Linked DNA regions of Alligator mississippiensis. The protein of the gene in region 1 interacts with the protein of each later gene in a pairwise test. Links are inferred from orthologs where the notes say so. Each region holds a gene or a part of one and is shown on either strand. Other genes may lie near its edges.

The links.
Region 2: the proteins of TRIM39 (region 1) and CCNC interact in binary tests that used the Homo sapiens proteins (3 or more experiments, as listed by UniProt). The two-hybrid records come from large-scale screens. The link is inferred for Alligator mississippiensis from reciprocal best matches to the Homo sapiens genes TRIM39 and CCNC.

Annotation. Positions count from the first base shown.
Region 1 is NC_081834.1:53,845,862-53,852,861, forward strand, and holds the start of TRIM39 (E3 ubiquitin-protein ligase TRIM39), read right to left. Parts: upstream 3,022-7,000; 5' UTR 2,929-3,021; intron 2,833-2,928; exon of another isoform or gene 2,711-2,832; intron 2,640-2,710; exon of another isoform or gene 2,115-2,639; intron 1-2,114.
Region 2 is NC_081824.1:85,518,328-85,525,367, forward strand, and holds the start of CCNC (cyclin-C), read right to left. Parts: upstream 3,012-7,040; 5' UTR 2,888-3,011; coding exon 2,856-2,887; intron 555-2,855; coding exon 448-554; intron 1-447. UniProt on the Homo sapiens protein: Component of the Mediator complex, a coactivator involved in regulated gene transcription of nearly all RNA polymerase II-dependent genes.

The sequences.
Region 1 (7,000 bases):
CATATCGGTCGATACAGATCCGATTACCAAAATGTAGCCGTGCAGCTTGGAGAGCAGTGTCTGGCTGGTAAGTCTGTTGCGTGTGAAGAGGCATTGGGGGGAGGCGGGGGGGGGGCAGGCAGATCATTGCCCCCACAGTGAGGGTGGGAGTGGAGCTGGGACAGGTCATGCACAGCCAGGGTGGGGCACAGGATGAAGCCATGAGCAGCTTGTCCGGGGGGTAGCTCCTGGAACTGCACGCACCCTATGAGGGCATGGCGGGGGGTAGTGGTGCCCCCAGATCTGCATGGGGCAAAGGTGAGCTACCATTGTGGGCTGGGAGTGGTGCAAAGCTCTTCCTGGAAGAGTCCTGGGCTACACTGTGCTCAGGGCTGGCAGCAGTGGTGCTGGGAGGGTAGCTATGGGGGGGCTGCAGTCACCCCTAAGTTTGCGATAGTCCCCAGTTCCAGCACCACTGGCGCCTGCCCCAAGCACAGCCCGGCCCAACCCCCCTGCTGGGAACAGCCTGGTGCCACCCCTGGCCCCAGCCCTCAGCAGCAGCCTGCCCTTGCCCCCCACAGATGTCGGGGCACATGCCCCCAACGCCCTCCTGGGTTGTGTGCAACAGGAGCTGCCCTTCCCAGAGGAGTCACTCTCTGTCCCTTGCCCTAGCCACACTCCTTCCCTCACCCCAGGGATCTTGATTTCCCCCACCCCTCTTCCCTCACAACAGACTTACTAGCTCGATTTGGCTGCTCTCCAAACTGCCAGGCTGTGCTCCTGGCTGCCTGCATGCTGCACTGTGGCTGTGCGCATACACAGGGCATTTATTTGCTACCTTATCAGCCACATCAGGCAAAAAAACCAACTGCCAATACAGTCAATTTTCCTTATATCGGTGCCGATCCGCTATGGGACCAATGTATCAGTGCACCTCTAATAATTATATTTATACCATTAATGCATTACAGTTAACATTTAACATTTTTTGACACATGGTTTGTGTTTGCTAGGGTGGAGTTAAATGAATTATGTTTTCAAATTACATTGGCCGAGTACTTGCATGATTTATTGGTACTAGAGCACGAGTCCCTCAGCCCAATGTGTCCATCCTGCTGTACCAGCGTTGTATGACCTTCAACCCAACCCACAGGCATGTGTTATTAGTTAAATGGTTAACCAATATAGTCAGAAGAGTCTAAACAGCTAATTTTTAAAGTGATATTTACATCCCTAGAGCTTGCCCAGCACTGAAGCGCAGCTGTCTCTGAGGCAGGATGCAGCGCTCAGCCATTGCAGAGCAACACTGAATGTTAAAGGTGGAAAGTGAATGAGATCAAAACTGTGCAGGTGACGGGGAGAAGTTCACTGTTTTTTAAGTTGTACATGTTGCTTGGCTCTGACAGTCTGGCTTTGCACGTGGAAATCAAAGCAGCTTCAAGTAAGAAAGCCTGACATGCTGCAAGACGCTTGTTGATCTGTAAGGGGGTGACTCTGAAGCACTTGTCTGAGCAAAGCAGAACCTCCAGGGACCTGAGGTGGGGGGCGGGGCTGAAAAATTAGAAGGGGAAGAATAAGGAAGCCAGTGTCATCTCTCAGCGCAGCTTTGGGCTCCTCTACAATTGCCTGCAGCGTCCAAGCAAGACGATTCCCCCATCTGTCTCGACTCTGCCCAGTCCCCCTACGAAGCACCGAACACCCTGCATTACCCATCTTTCAGACAAGGGCAAGGATGGAAGGAAGTGAGGGGGACCGCACACGTCCCCAAACTGCAGCGGGGGAGAGCAGGAAACTGTGAGGCCCACCACAAACATCTATGCCCCTTAGAAGGGGGGACACAGAGCACAGCCGCCGACTGCTGGAGACGAACATGCTGCAGAGGGGAGTGAGACGGAGGGTGGCAGGGTCACAACCAGCACCCCGCAGCGGCCGCGGGCACTGCCCGGAGCCGTGGGGAGGAGACAGGCTGGGACGAGGGTCACAGGCAGCAGCAGGGACAGCGCGGCAGCGCTGGGACCGGGGGGGGGGGGGAGGGCCCACCGCGTCCCGCGTCCCAGGGGCGACTTTTGCCCCGGGCACCGCGCCCGCCCCCTTGGGCGGGGCACGGGACAGGGGCTCACCGGCCGCGCACTCACCTGCGGCCGCGCGAGCCCCAGCCCCGGCCCGGCCCGGCCCGGCCCGCCCGCTCCTCCCTGCACGGACGCCGAGCCTGGGCCCAGCGCCGGAAGTGACGGACTGGCTCGGGGCCCGGAAGCCTCCGCTACGTTGCCGGAAGTGCGTTTCCTCCGCTGCAGCCAGGAGACGCGGGCCAAAGCAGGAGGCGCGGGAGGATCATAGCGGCTCCCACGCGCGGGCCGCGGCCGCAGCGACCAGGGTAAAGCAGGCGGGAGACGAGGCGCGATGACCAGGCCGCGGCCAGTCCCCAGCCGGAAGTGTGCCTTTTCCGACCGGAAATAAGCCTTCCCCGACCGGAACTCAGTCCTCTCTCCTCCCCGCCTGTCAAAGGCCCCTCAGTAGAATATACCAAACGCACCGGCTGCGCCCCGAGCCGTCCTGGAAGGTACCACACGCCGCCGCCCCGACCCAACTACGACACCAGGTGCACACACGCCGGGCCTGCGTCCCCCACCCTCCTCCATGCCTGGGCTGTACGGAATACACTGATTTCCCGCACGTACCCCCAGCATCGCGGGCCGTACCATCGCGCCCCGCCCCTCTTAGTGATCCGTACCATTCATTCCTTCGACCCCCTCTTTCGGGCCGTACCACATGCGCGGGCCCCGCCCACCTGCTGGAGAGGACCAAATCCCATCGCCTCTCTGTGGACCGTACCAAAATGAGCAACCTCCCATCCAGACTTGAAGCCACCCCGCCCCCTTTCCCTTGTGGAACCGCCCAAATCACGGGTCCCGCCCCCCCCGCTCCTAAAGGCATCCACGTGGAACGTACCAAGTACAGCGAGCGCCTCGGCCCCTCCTGGGACGGACCAAGTTAGCGCCCGGGGGACGCGGCGGCGGCCCGCAACGGGGACTTTGCAGTATCATCCCGGGCAGCCGTCATCCCCCCGCCCCCTTTTGGAGCGTACCAAGATGAGCCCCGCCCCCCACGATGTTGTACGTGCTGGGGGGTAATTGACGCCTCAACAAGGGGGGAGGGGATGTCCCCAAAAGGGGCGGGGGATGCAGTACCTGGGGTGGTGTCCGCATTGGGGGCGGGGGGATGCAGTGCCTTTTGCCCTCTTTCCTGCAAAAAAAAATCCCTCTGGAAAAAAAGAGAGGGAGGCGTGGGCTGGGGGGTTCTGCTGTAATTGGCCCGGGGGGCGCTGTGGGGTGAGAGGTGGAAGATTCAGGGGAACCCAGTGCCTCCCTACTCAGCCTGGCACCAGCGAGCAGGTGCTCGCCCTCATTGCAGTTGTCGTGGGTGGTGCAGCACTTGAACACCATGTACTACCCATCATTGAACTCCCAGGTCCCCTTGCATATCTCGCTGGCATAGCGCAGCCCATTACCTTCAGGCCCACCTGGTTGTCTGCTGCCAGCCCTGAGGGAGGGAAGCAGGGCTGAGCTCTGGGCACGTGGCTGCCCTCTGCCACCCCCCTTCCCTGCTGTGGGGCAGGCCTGAGGAGACGGGCAGGAGGTGGCTGTGGTGGGACACGGGATGCCCTTTGGGCAGGATAGGACAGAACAAGGCAGGAGAGGCTGGTCAGGAGCAGCTGTGGGCACGTACCTTGTGGGGGTTGTTACTCTCCTGCTCTTGGGGCCAAGATGGGATGAGGTTTCACTTGGTCAGCTACTGGGATCAGCATCAGCTGGCAGGTGAGAAGATAATGTTGGGAGAAAAAGGGAGGGGCTGTTGCCTTTGGCTGCCAAGGGGGAGAAGGCGCTGCAGCCAGAGCTACTGAGGGAAACAAGAACAGGACAGCAAGACACCTCAGTCCTTATGGGTCATGATGAAGATGGAGAGGCGGGATCCGGAGCATTCAGGCACACAGTTTGTCTCAGGAGGTACACAGGGCCCAGAGCATTGGCTAGAGAGAGACATGAGATGAGCATGTGTCACACCATGGCCACCACACCAAACCACCTGCCAGCCCTGATCCCTTGTGTTGGCGGAGGCGTAGCAGAGCAGCTCTGCACTTGGGGTAACCGCAGGCTCCTGGGACAGAGTGGGTTGGTGACATGTGGATTGTGGCTGCTGCAGCAGTGGCTATTTGCGCCACCCCCACATGGAAACAGATTGCCCCCCTCAGTTATGCTACTTCCCAGCGGGCTTGCTTTGAGCATCACTCACCTCAGCCTCCCTTACTTCAATCTGCCCCTGGCCTGAGGGCAGGATGAGTGTCTGGCTAATGACAAGCAAGGAGCATAGGTGCTGACATATTTTTGCCAGGGAGCCTAAGATGATGCCCCCACCACCATCACCGGGCAGCATAGCTGGAGCAGAGCCGAGCAGAGTCCACGGTGGGGGGCAAATGCCGGCTGCCCACTGCAGGCTTGGGACTGCCTCCCCTGCTGTCCTCGCCCTGGGAGCCCTGTGCCAGCCACGCTGCCATGGGGAGACAATTCCTGCCCTCCCTACCTCAAAAGCAGGACAAGCCCTGTGTGTTTCACGTCTGAGTGCAGCTCCTGCTGATAGGACTTACCTACAAGCACAAAACAGAACAGGGCACATGCAGTAAGGAGCAGGGCTCAGGCCATGCTGGGCTCCTCTGGGTCAAAGGCAGGTGCTGGGGCAGGGTAGGAGAGAGCTTCCAGCTGGTAGAAACTGCAGTCTGAAGTGAGAGGAGAGACAGCCATGGACGAACTTTATCCTCCTGGAATACCCTAGGAGTTGGCACCCACAGGTAACTTCTTGGGAATGTGGGTAGACAGAGGTGACTGAGCAGAGACTGAGCAAGAGCTGCCCACACAGAGAACAGTTCCTGCCTAGAAGGAATCCCCCCAGGCATGGAGTCAGTAGCATGGGCTGGGAGTCAGGACACCTGGGCTCTATGCCCAGCCCTGACAAAAAACATGAGCTCCAGGAGATCAAAGCTGAAGGACCGGGGGGGGGGGGGGGGGGGAAGGACTCCTGGTTTCTGTCCTTGGCTTTGGGAGGGGAGTGGGGCCTAAAGTCAGGACAGATTTGTTCCAGTTAGACTAGGAACCCAGGAGGGAGGTCCAGTAGAGGTTCTCATCCTCTTGTGGGGAAAATGACAATTCTGCCTTGTCCCATGAGGGAGTCACATGGGGTTACCCTCTCCCCAGGGCTGTCATCAAACTTTCAACTCAGGGCTCATTCATTTGGGACTAAGGCAGCCTGTCCCATTTGCTCTTAGCAGTACGGAGTCTTTGACAACAGAGCAGGCCTGAAGGTAGCCTGGGGTAGTGGGTAACATGGGGTAGTGACACAGACCACCGGAAAAACGTCAAAGTGTGTGAGTTTCTGTAGCATTGTCCCATACAAGATGGAAGAGGCCTTGCTTTGCTGTGTGCTCACCATGACTCTACCCTTCTATACATCTCTCCACTAGCCAGATATGTTCTGCCCTCCCGAGGCACAGCTGAGTCCAGGACTCATCTGGACACCAGCAAAGATTCTGGTTCTCTTGAGCTGGCTGTGCTCCAGCAGGATCTCCTTGCTGCATCAGTTGTGGAGAACAAGCTTTGTAAAGCAATGTTAAGTAACCTCTGTGTGGATCTGCTTCCTGTGAGGAATGGGGATATTGCTGTGTCTGAACAGAACAAAGTTGAGATGAGCTCCAGGTAGCCAAGAATGGGTGATATCAGGGCCAGGAGACTGAGGTGGGACAGAGAAATGTAATTGCATCCTGGTGAGTGTGCACACCTACCAGGATTATAGGCCCTTCCAGTACCTTGCATTGCACCAAGCACCAACTTCAGAAAACCAAGGGAAACAGATCTTATACATGCTACCCAGCCTCTCTCCTTTCCCTGCAGCTGCCAGTAGCTACTTGGAATTGCCTGCAAGCCTTCCTGCCACATTTTCTACAATAGGTGTGGCTGTCCCTTTGCTGTGCGGCCTGTGAGGAGCAGGTGGCCATTGGTGGTAATGGTGGGTTATCACTGTGAAGAGCCCAATGTCCGATGACATTGTGGATATAGAGCTGGAGCAGTTGTTCAGTTAACCAGCTGGGGTGCTTTCTCTGCAGACCAGGCTTCATACTTCCCTGTAGGGCAGGTGTTGGCAGCTCCAGGTTAGTGCAGTGCAAAGCCACAGTGTGGTTGATGGTGACATGAGAAACAGTAGTCCCAGAGGGCAGTGGAGGTTGTGAGCCCTGGAATGTGCAACACCTCTTCATTTTTGGGCAGGTCCAAACCCCATTGGTTTGGCCGAAGATCTTTGCTAGCACACCTCTATTTTTTTCTTCCGCTTCAACCCACAAGACCCCATTCTCTTCCCAGGGAGGAGAAGAGAACCCAATTGTGGCTCCCAGCCTACTGCTCTGATCCAGATTACTTCCCTCCTTTCCCCGTGCTAGAGACTGAACCCAGTAACTGCTTCATTTGGGGAAAAAAAAAAGATGCACCGTGCTTTTTTTTTTTGTGGGGGTGGGGTATCTTTGTGTCTTAGGTGGCTCCTCACAGAGACACAGACATCACTTTAAGGGGCGATTACAATGTCTCCAACACTCATTGATCCACCCGAGCAGAAGGGAGGGGCCTGTACTATGCCCAGTTCTAGGAAAGAAGTGAGGCCCAGTGGGCTCAAGCAGGAGCGGGGCAGGGAGGAAGACTGAGGCAGAATTCCCTGTGTGGCTAGAGACAGGGCTGTGTGTGTCCCTCCTCCCACTCTGCCTTCCCTTCAAGACAGTTAGCTGGTGTGCAGAGACTGTCACCTGGAGATGCCCCATGTCAACTGCATCTCTGGAATCTTCAAATGCAATACCAGGGAAGAAGAGAAGTTCGTGTTCATTGTCATCAGTCACAATGAGGGGCTAACTGTTGTTGACCTTTCTGTTCTCCCCACCTATCTGCACCAAATCCTTTTCTTCTCTGGGGAAAAGTGATGCTTGGCTGTC
Region 2 (7,040 bases), on another chromosome or scaffold:
CCCAGGCTGCACTTTCCACACAGGTGCAACTGGGGTCTCCGTGGAAACTGGCCCAAGCCATGAGGGCAGGAGCAGCTGGGAAATAAGAATCCACAGCCAACCAGATCTGGCCCACAGGGTGGAGTTTGCCCGTCCCTGCAATAAAGACACTTAACTTTTCTGTCCTATTCTCTGCCTCAATGCCTGAGAAAATGAATGTTACCTACTTTACTAGACTGATAATAGGAAGGAAAACTTAACAAGATCTCTCATAACATCTTTGAGAAATATACCTGCATCTAGTTCATACATCTTTCAAATGCGTATATTAATATAACTTTTTAAACACGTTAAGAGAATATATACATAAAAATAGGAGAAACCGAAGCTCTAGGTAAATGAACCATGAATTCAGATACATAGGTGTGACCCAAATTAGACAGCTAATCAAAAATAAAACCATTTTACCATTAGTAAAAAATATTTGAAGTTTCCAATATTCTTCTTCTGCTAGAAATTTCAAGTCCTTCTGGCGTTCTTTCAACAGATCTTGTTTATCCAAAATCCACTGTAAACTAGGAGGGAAAAAAATAATTCACAAATATTATACAGTGACTTGTGAACAAATAAAGTATAGTTCATATCTGGGGATGAAACAGGCTGGTGTGCATCCCTTTAATTGAGTCTTGTAATGCTAGATACATTCTTGCAAAATGAATGCTCATTAGGGCTTTCAAAATCAGGCCCTTTGAGGAAAAATAATCACCAGAAATAAGAGGCCTTCTCAACGCTAAAAATGTCAAATGCATTAGTTATTAGTTAAAAATAAAGTCTGAGAGATATACTACATACAGATTTTATTTTAGATGCCACACATTTAAATTCAATATACCCAGTGCTAACGATACTTGGACACAGCTCATTCTATGCCAACTTTTCTATAGGGGAAATATATTTGATTCGCTGTGACTTTCTTTGCAGGAAAAGCTTTTAAATCTCCTTCTCCCCCTCTCTGTGGTGTAGATAAGGGATGTCAAATCTCTCTTGGATTTTATGGCTCAATCTGGCCTCTAGCAAGGCTTGTAGCATCTGCATCAGCTCAGGGAACCACAGCCATCATTGAAATATGTCCCTGGTCATACTCTGAAATACCTGCCAGAATTCAGTGGTAGCCCCTGTCTCTCCTTGCCCTGCCCCCAAATTCCCAATCCCTCCTGAAGCCCCATGGACCAGATTACATGTTTCTGCAGGTTGTATCTTTGCCACCTTGCACCTCGGTGCAGATTATTAGATACTAAGTAAAGACCAACACAAGCATTCCCCAAGACTTTCCTTTGACAGCCTTAACAACGCAACGGCTTTTTAAAAAGCAAAAACTGCAAGACAAGTTTTAAAAAGCTGGCTTTGCACCCACTGAGCAGCTGTGTTTTATAAATTCATAGATTGTTAGGGGCTGGAACGGACTTTGGAAGATCATCAGGTCCAGCCCCCCTGCACTTGGCAAGAAAGATACTTGGTCAGGTGCCCCCCGCAAGGTGACTGTCCAGTCTCCTCTTGACGATTTCCAGGGTAGGCGATTGTGGAATGAGCTCCCTCCAAAGGTGGTGCAGTCTGGACACCCTAACTTGTGAAGAAGTTTTTCCTAATGTTGAGCCAGAAATGGTCTTCTAAGAGTCTGTGGCCATTACTCTTGGTTCTCCCCAAAGGTGCTCTGGAGAACAGTTTTTCACTTGGTGTACTCCCCTGATAGCAGAAAGCTGCTACCAAGTCCCCTCCCAGCCTTCTCTTTTTTAAGCTGAAGAATCCCAGGTCCCTCAGCCTTTCCTTGTATGGCTTGCTGTGTAAGACTCTGATCAGATGGGTGGCTCTTCTTTGGACTCTCTCAGGCTTGTCCATGTCCTTGTTAAAGGGTGGTGCCCAGAACTGGATGCAGTACTCCAGCTGCAGTCTCACCAGTGCTGAGTAAAGCAGAAGAATCACTTCCTTGGTTTTGCTTGAGATGCATTGATTGATGCATGCCAGAGTATTGTTTCCCTTGCTGGCTCCAGCACCACGCTGCCGGCTCATATTCATACTGTGGTCTATTACTAGCCCTAGGTCCCTGTTATTTTTTCCCCCTTAGTATTACTACTTGAGTTCAGACCTTTGAGTTAGGTTTTGTATGCCAGACTTTGGTAAATATGCCAGACAGCCCCCAGGGAGGAGGAAGAGGTGGTTGCGACTGACTTGGAGAGCTGCTGCAGTCACAGATCCTGCATGTGTATTTGGTGCATGTTGGGGGAAGAGGGGAGCAGCTCATCTGTGTGTTATGCACCCTCCTGAAACCGACGTGAAACCCATCAGCTGCTGGTGCGCCTTCCAGTTTTCCCAACATGGGATTTCTTTTCTGGCCCACAGTCAGCTTTCTTCTCCCAAGCCAGGCAGCAAGAGAGAGAAAAATGAAAGGACTTCCAAAAGAGCAAGTAGGCAGAGGAAAACGACTGGCTGTTTCAAGACCCTGGTGACCCAACACGCAAAACATGCTCAGGCTTAGTCATCATAGAGAAGTGGACCTGCAGAGGTCATCGAGGCAGGGTCATCCCTACCAAAACCACCCCATTAGGAACAGGACCGGCTCCCCTGGGGTCACTCCCATGGGCAGCCCCCACAACCAGGGGCTACAGAAAGGCTGTTTTCAGACCCCCTGGCACTGACAGCAGGGACCAGCAACGTGGTGGGCGGGAATCGCCTTGCACCCCCATGACACTCACTCGCACGTGCGTTTAGGACCCCTCCCCCGCCCCCCGGGACGTTCCCCCAACGGCCGCCCCGCCTCCCCCCCGACAGCCCGGGGCCGCGTGCGCCCCGCAGGGGGAGGAGAGGGGGTCCCCACTCACTAGTGCGAGCTCTGCCAGAAGTTCCCCGCCATGGAGCGGGCTCGGGGGAGGCGGCTCTGCCCCCCCGGCTGACCAGCCCCGCCACCCCCACGCTGCCCCCCCCCGGCCGGAGCAGCTTCGCGAGCGGCAGCAGCGGTGGCGGCGGCAGGAGGAGGAAGGAGGCGGTCGCCGGGGTCCCGCGCCCTCACTCCGCCGACCGGCAACGCGCCCAGAGACAAGAGTTCCGCCGCCAGCGCGCGGGTTCCGCCGGACGGGGGACCAAGAGCGGGTGCACCGCGCTCGGCCCCGCCCCCGGCCCCGCCCCCTCCGCCTGGCCGCGGGTTGGGCTTTCGTCTGGGGACGGGGCTGAGACTGGGGAATTGTCAAAACTGGGACGGTGACGCTGGGATTTATGATGGGATTGGGATTGAAACTGGAGGATCGGAATTCAGGCTGGGATTGGGCCTGGGAGACTACAAATGGGAGACTTGGATTGGGATTAAAACTAGGGAATTGGGAGTCAGACTGGGTTTGCAACTGGGATTGAGACTAAAATTGGGTCTGGGGGACTAGAAATGGCAGACTGGTATTGGGATTGAAACGGGGATTGGGAGTCAGGCTGGGATTGAGACTGGAGTCTGGTCTTTGATTGGGACTGGGAAAGTGGGATTGAGTCTGGGGGACTAGAAATGGCGGATTGGGATTGAAACGGGGATTGGGAGTCAGGCTGGGATTGGAACTGGGAGACTGGGTTTGGGTCTGGGGGTCTAGAAATGGGAGCCTGGGACTGGGGGACTGGGATTCGTGCCAGCTCTGAGTTGGAGTGGGCTGTTGACCCATCCCAGGGGATCTGGGCAGTGATGCCCCAGGGAGTTTTCTCCGTGTACATCTGACCATCATCACATCTACCCATCAGCACTGCTGCCAGGCCAGGCAGGGCCCCTGTAGCCCTGATGTAAAGTTGCTTGTTGCTGGCCCTTCTGCTGGGCTGAAGCCCAAGTAACAATCTGTGCCGGTGTGGGGGGTGAAAGTGATGTAAGTGTGTAAGAGCTAATACAAGACTCACCTGTTGGAAACCTGTGCTGCGTGTGCTGCTATGAATGTTCAGTGTGTTGTAGCAGTGTAAATCAGGGGTGTTGGACCCACAGAGCTAGATCTGGTGCTGTTTGGGCTCTAGTGCTGCAGCTCTCACTGGTTTAACCAGTTGCCTGGGTGAGAGCAGCAAAACGAGCCCCAGCAGCACAGTGAGAAGTCCAGCAATGTAGTTTGTTCCTGTGGTGGCAGCTAAGCTTTCACGATGCCAGGCCACTTCGCCGCAGATCCCAAATGAGCTGGAGCAGGCACCAAGCGTGCTGGATCTGGCATGGGGATGGATGGGCATGATTCAGTCTGTAGGGTGAGCCCTGTACCATTCATCCAGCTCATGAAGCCAGGTGAGTTTGACACTCCCTGGAATAAGCAGTTAAATTTTGGGCAGGAAGCAGCTGGCACTCTTGCTTTCTCACTCCAGCCTTTCCTGCCAACTAGTTATACTGACAGCCTCTCAGTGCCTGATCAACCTTCAGAGGGGTTGAACTCTACCATAAAGGTAACAGGTACTCTAATAGGACGGAATTCCTTGTTTCTCTGCTGTTGTCTTTTACGGAACCAGCCACCGGGCTGGACTCCATTAAATTCCAGATACTGGACAATTTAATGACAACTGTGAGTGAAGGAGGACACCTTCTCCCTCTGCATGGGAAGGGATAAAGATGCAACAGGAAAAATGGGAGAGGGGTTTGTACCAGTTGAACAGTAGCCTACAGCTGTGGTTCTTAACCCTTTGAGACTTGAAGGATCCCTCCATAACTTCTGTGAATTGAGTGGCACCCATTTCAAAAACTAATTTACTTCATTTATAGCTCTTACCTGCTTGAAGAGGGGCTGTGAAGAAAGAGGAGTAGCCAGCAGGGAAGAACCTGTGTTGCAGTGAGTGGGTGGAGGAGTCACTGCTGATGAGCCTGCACTCATCTCTCTGGAGCCTGTGTTTATCCCCCGTTCTGCGTCACCCTTCAAAGGCTACTGTGGCACTCTGATTGAGAATCACTGCCCTAGAAAAATAGAGCAGCCTGAAATATGTGCAATGTGTGTGTGTCCAGGGCATACTTAGCTATCTACAGGCAGACAATAGGAAATTCTAGGGAAATCCCTGTGCTCTGGCCCCCAACTCAGGGTACACTGTCTGTGCCTTCATCAGCTGGCAGTCTTAACCCTGTGGAGATGTTTACCTGGGCAATGGAAGAGGAGGGAAAGGAGCCACTTCCCTTTTGCCAAAAGCCAAGTGGCATGGGCATTTGCCCACAAAATGGGATACTTGCATGCCAGGTTTCACTGAACCTGAGCGGAGGTTAAAGCCATTTCTTCCACTTCCCAGAAAAATGCTCTTGCCACTAGGCCGGATTGAGGGTATCCTGCATTCATCCTGTTGAGACTGAGAGACAGGAAGGGAAGGAATTAAAAAGTCCTGGGGCTAGAACAGTAAATGGGAGGGAGCAAAACTTTGTATCTTGTGAGGCAGCCACTACAATAATTGTGAAGCCGTGGTGGTGCTCCCAATGGTGTTTATACATTTTATCCCAGGACTACTGGATGCATGAACAGCATTGGGAATAAGGAACAGAACCAAGGGCACCTTCCTTCCCCATATCATACTTCTCCCTTGCTCTCCTTGCTGAAGGCTGAGTGGTTTGGTTTGGTTTGATTTGGTTTGGTTTGGTTTGGTTTGGAGATTTTTATGACAGTTTGACCAGCCTAACTGATGACAAATTCTTGGGACACATTATTTGAGATGTCCTGTGCAACTACTTTGAGGAAAGGGCATAATGGTTTAGATAGGCTTTTGGGGATGTTCTAGCTATGAAGTGTTGGTTTTATGGATTTTAAATACAGTGGTGCATGTCAGTTTACTGACAGGATCTTGTGCAGTTGATCAGCAGGATTTATTGTGCATGCTGTGTGCACTTTCATTCATTTTAAATATCAGGTATCTTTTAGTATATGTCCAGTATGCATGTCTGGGCCTCCAGGTAAAGTGGGCTTATTGTTGACATGCTATGTAGAACCTCTTCAGATTCCCATGCATTCTGCAAACAAAGATGCACAGATGGATGTGTGGAAATAAATTTATTTTATAATTAAACAATATCTGACTTGGAGTGGTACCAGAACAAACAGTGCCAGGAGTAGAAAACCTGGAACATTTAAAATATATTGTGAACAAGCAGTGTGGATTAAATTAAAGGGTAAGGGAGATTTTACATAAGAACTTGGAGGACAGGTACACAAAGGTGAACAGCATCTGTGGGGCTATGTGGGAACATTGGGCCTTGGTGGTGGGGCCTTGGTTTGAGAGGGTGCTGAAGGTCATTTCCCTGCCAGACTGGAATGAGCTGTGACACAGGGTCCAACTAGTGAATGTTTGCTCCCAGTCAGGTGAGTTTTCAAAAGTCTGGAAAAGCTTCTGGCTACCATGGTGCTGGGTGGGAAAAAGTAGAAGGTGAGTGGCAGCTTTGGAACATGTTCATCAACAACCTTGCCTCTTCATAATGGCCACGAACTATGGCTGAATCTTCATGTTTATTGCATTGTGCTCTCTGTCACAGAAGGGTTTTGCTCAGTCACTTATAATAAAAAAGCAAACAGTGATGTCTGCCATTTCCTTTGCAGCTTTGTTGGTAGCCTGAGTGTTCTCAGCAATAGAGCTGGGCAGGCTCAGGGAGTTCAGCTCAGTCTTTGTGTAGGATCTTACTCCAGCTCCTTTGAAATGAAAAACTCCTGGCTGTCAGGCACAACCTCTTGATAGGAATCATCAGTCCTGCTTTCATCAGTGTCCCCTTCTGTGAGGATGTCTGTGCTTGAGATAAAATGTGTGTCTGTGCTGACTTCCTGTAAAAAATCTTGTTCAACTAGCTTTATACTATGGACTGATCTCTGGACCACAGACAGAGGCACACAACATCACTCCAGCGTAAAGTTACTATTGGTTCCAAAGAGAATAACATCTCTGAAGCAACTCATTGGTTACACCTGTGCAAGTTAAGTCATGTGCACACCCTTCTTTTTATATTAATGCAACCTTGTTTACACCAGTGTAAACTGCCTATGTAGGTAAACTCTTGAGTTTCTTAACAATAATGGACCTGATTCTCTTCTTTCTTAGTTTTGTAC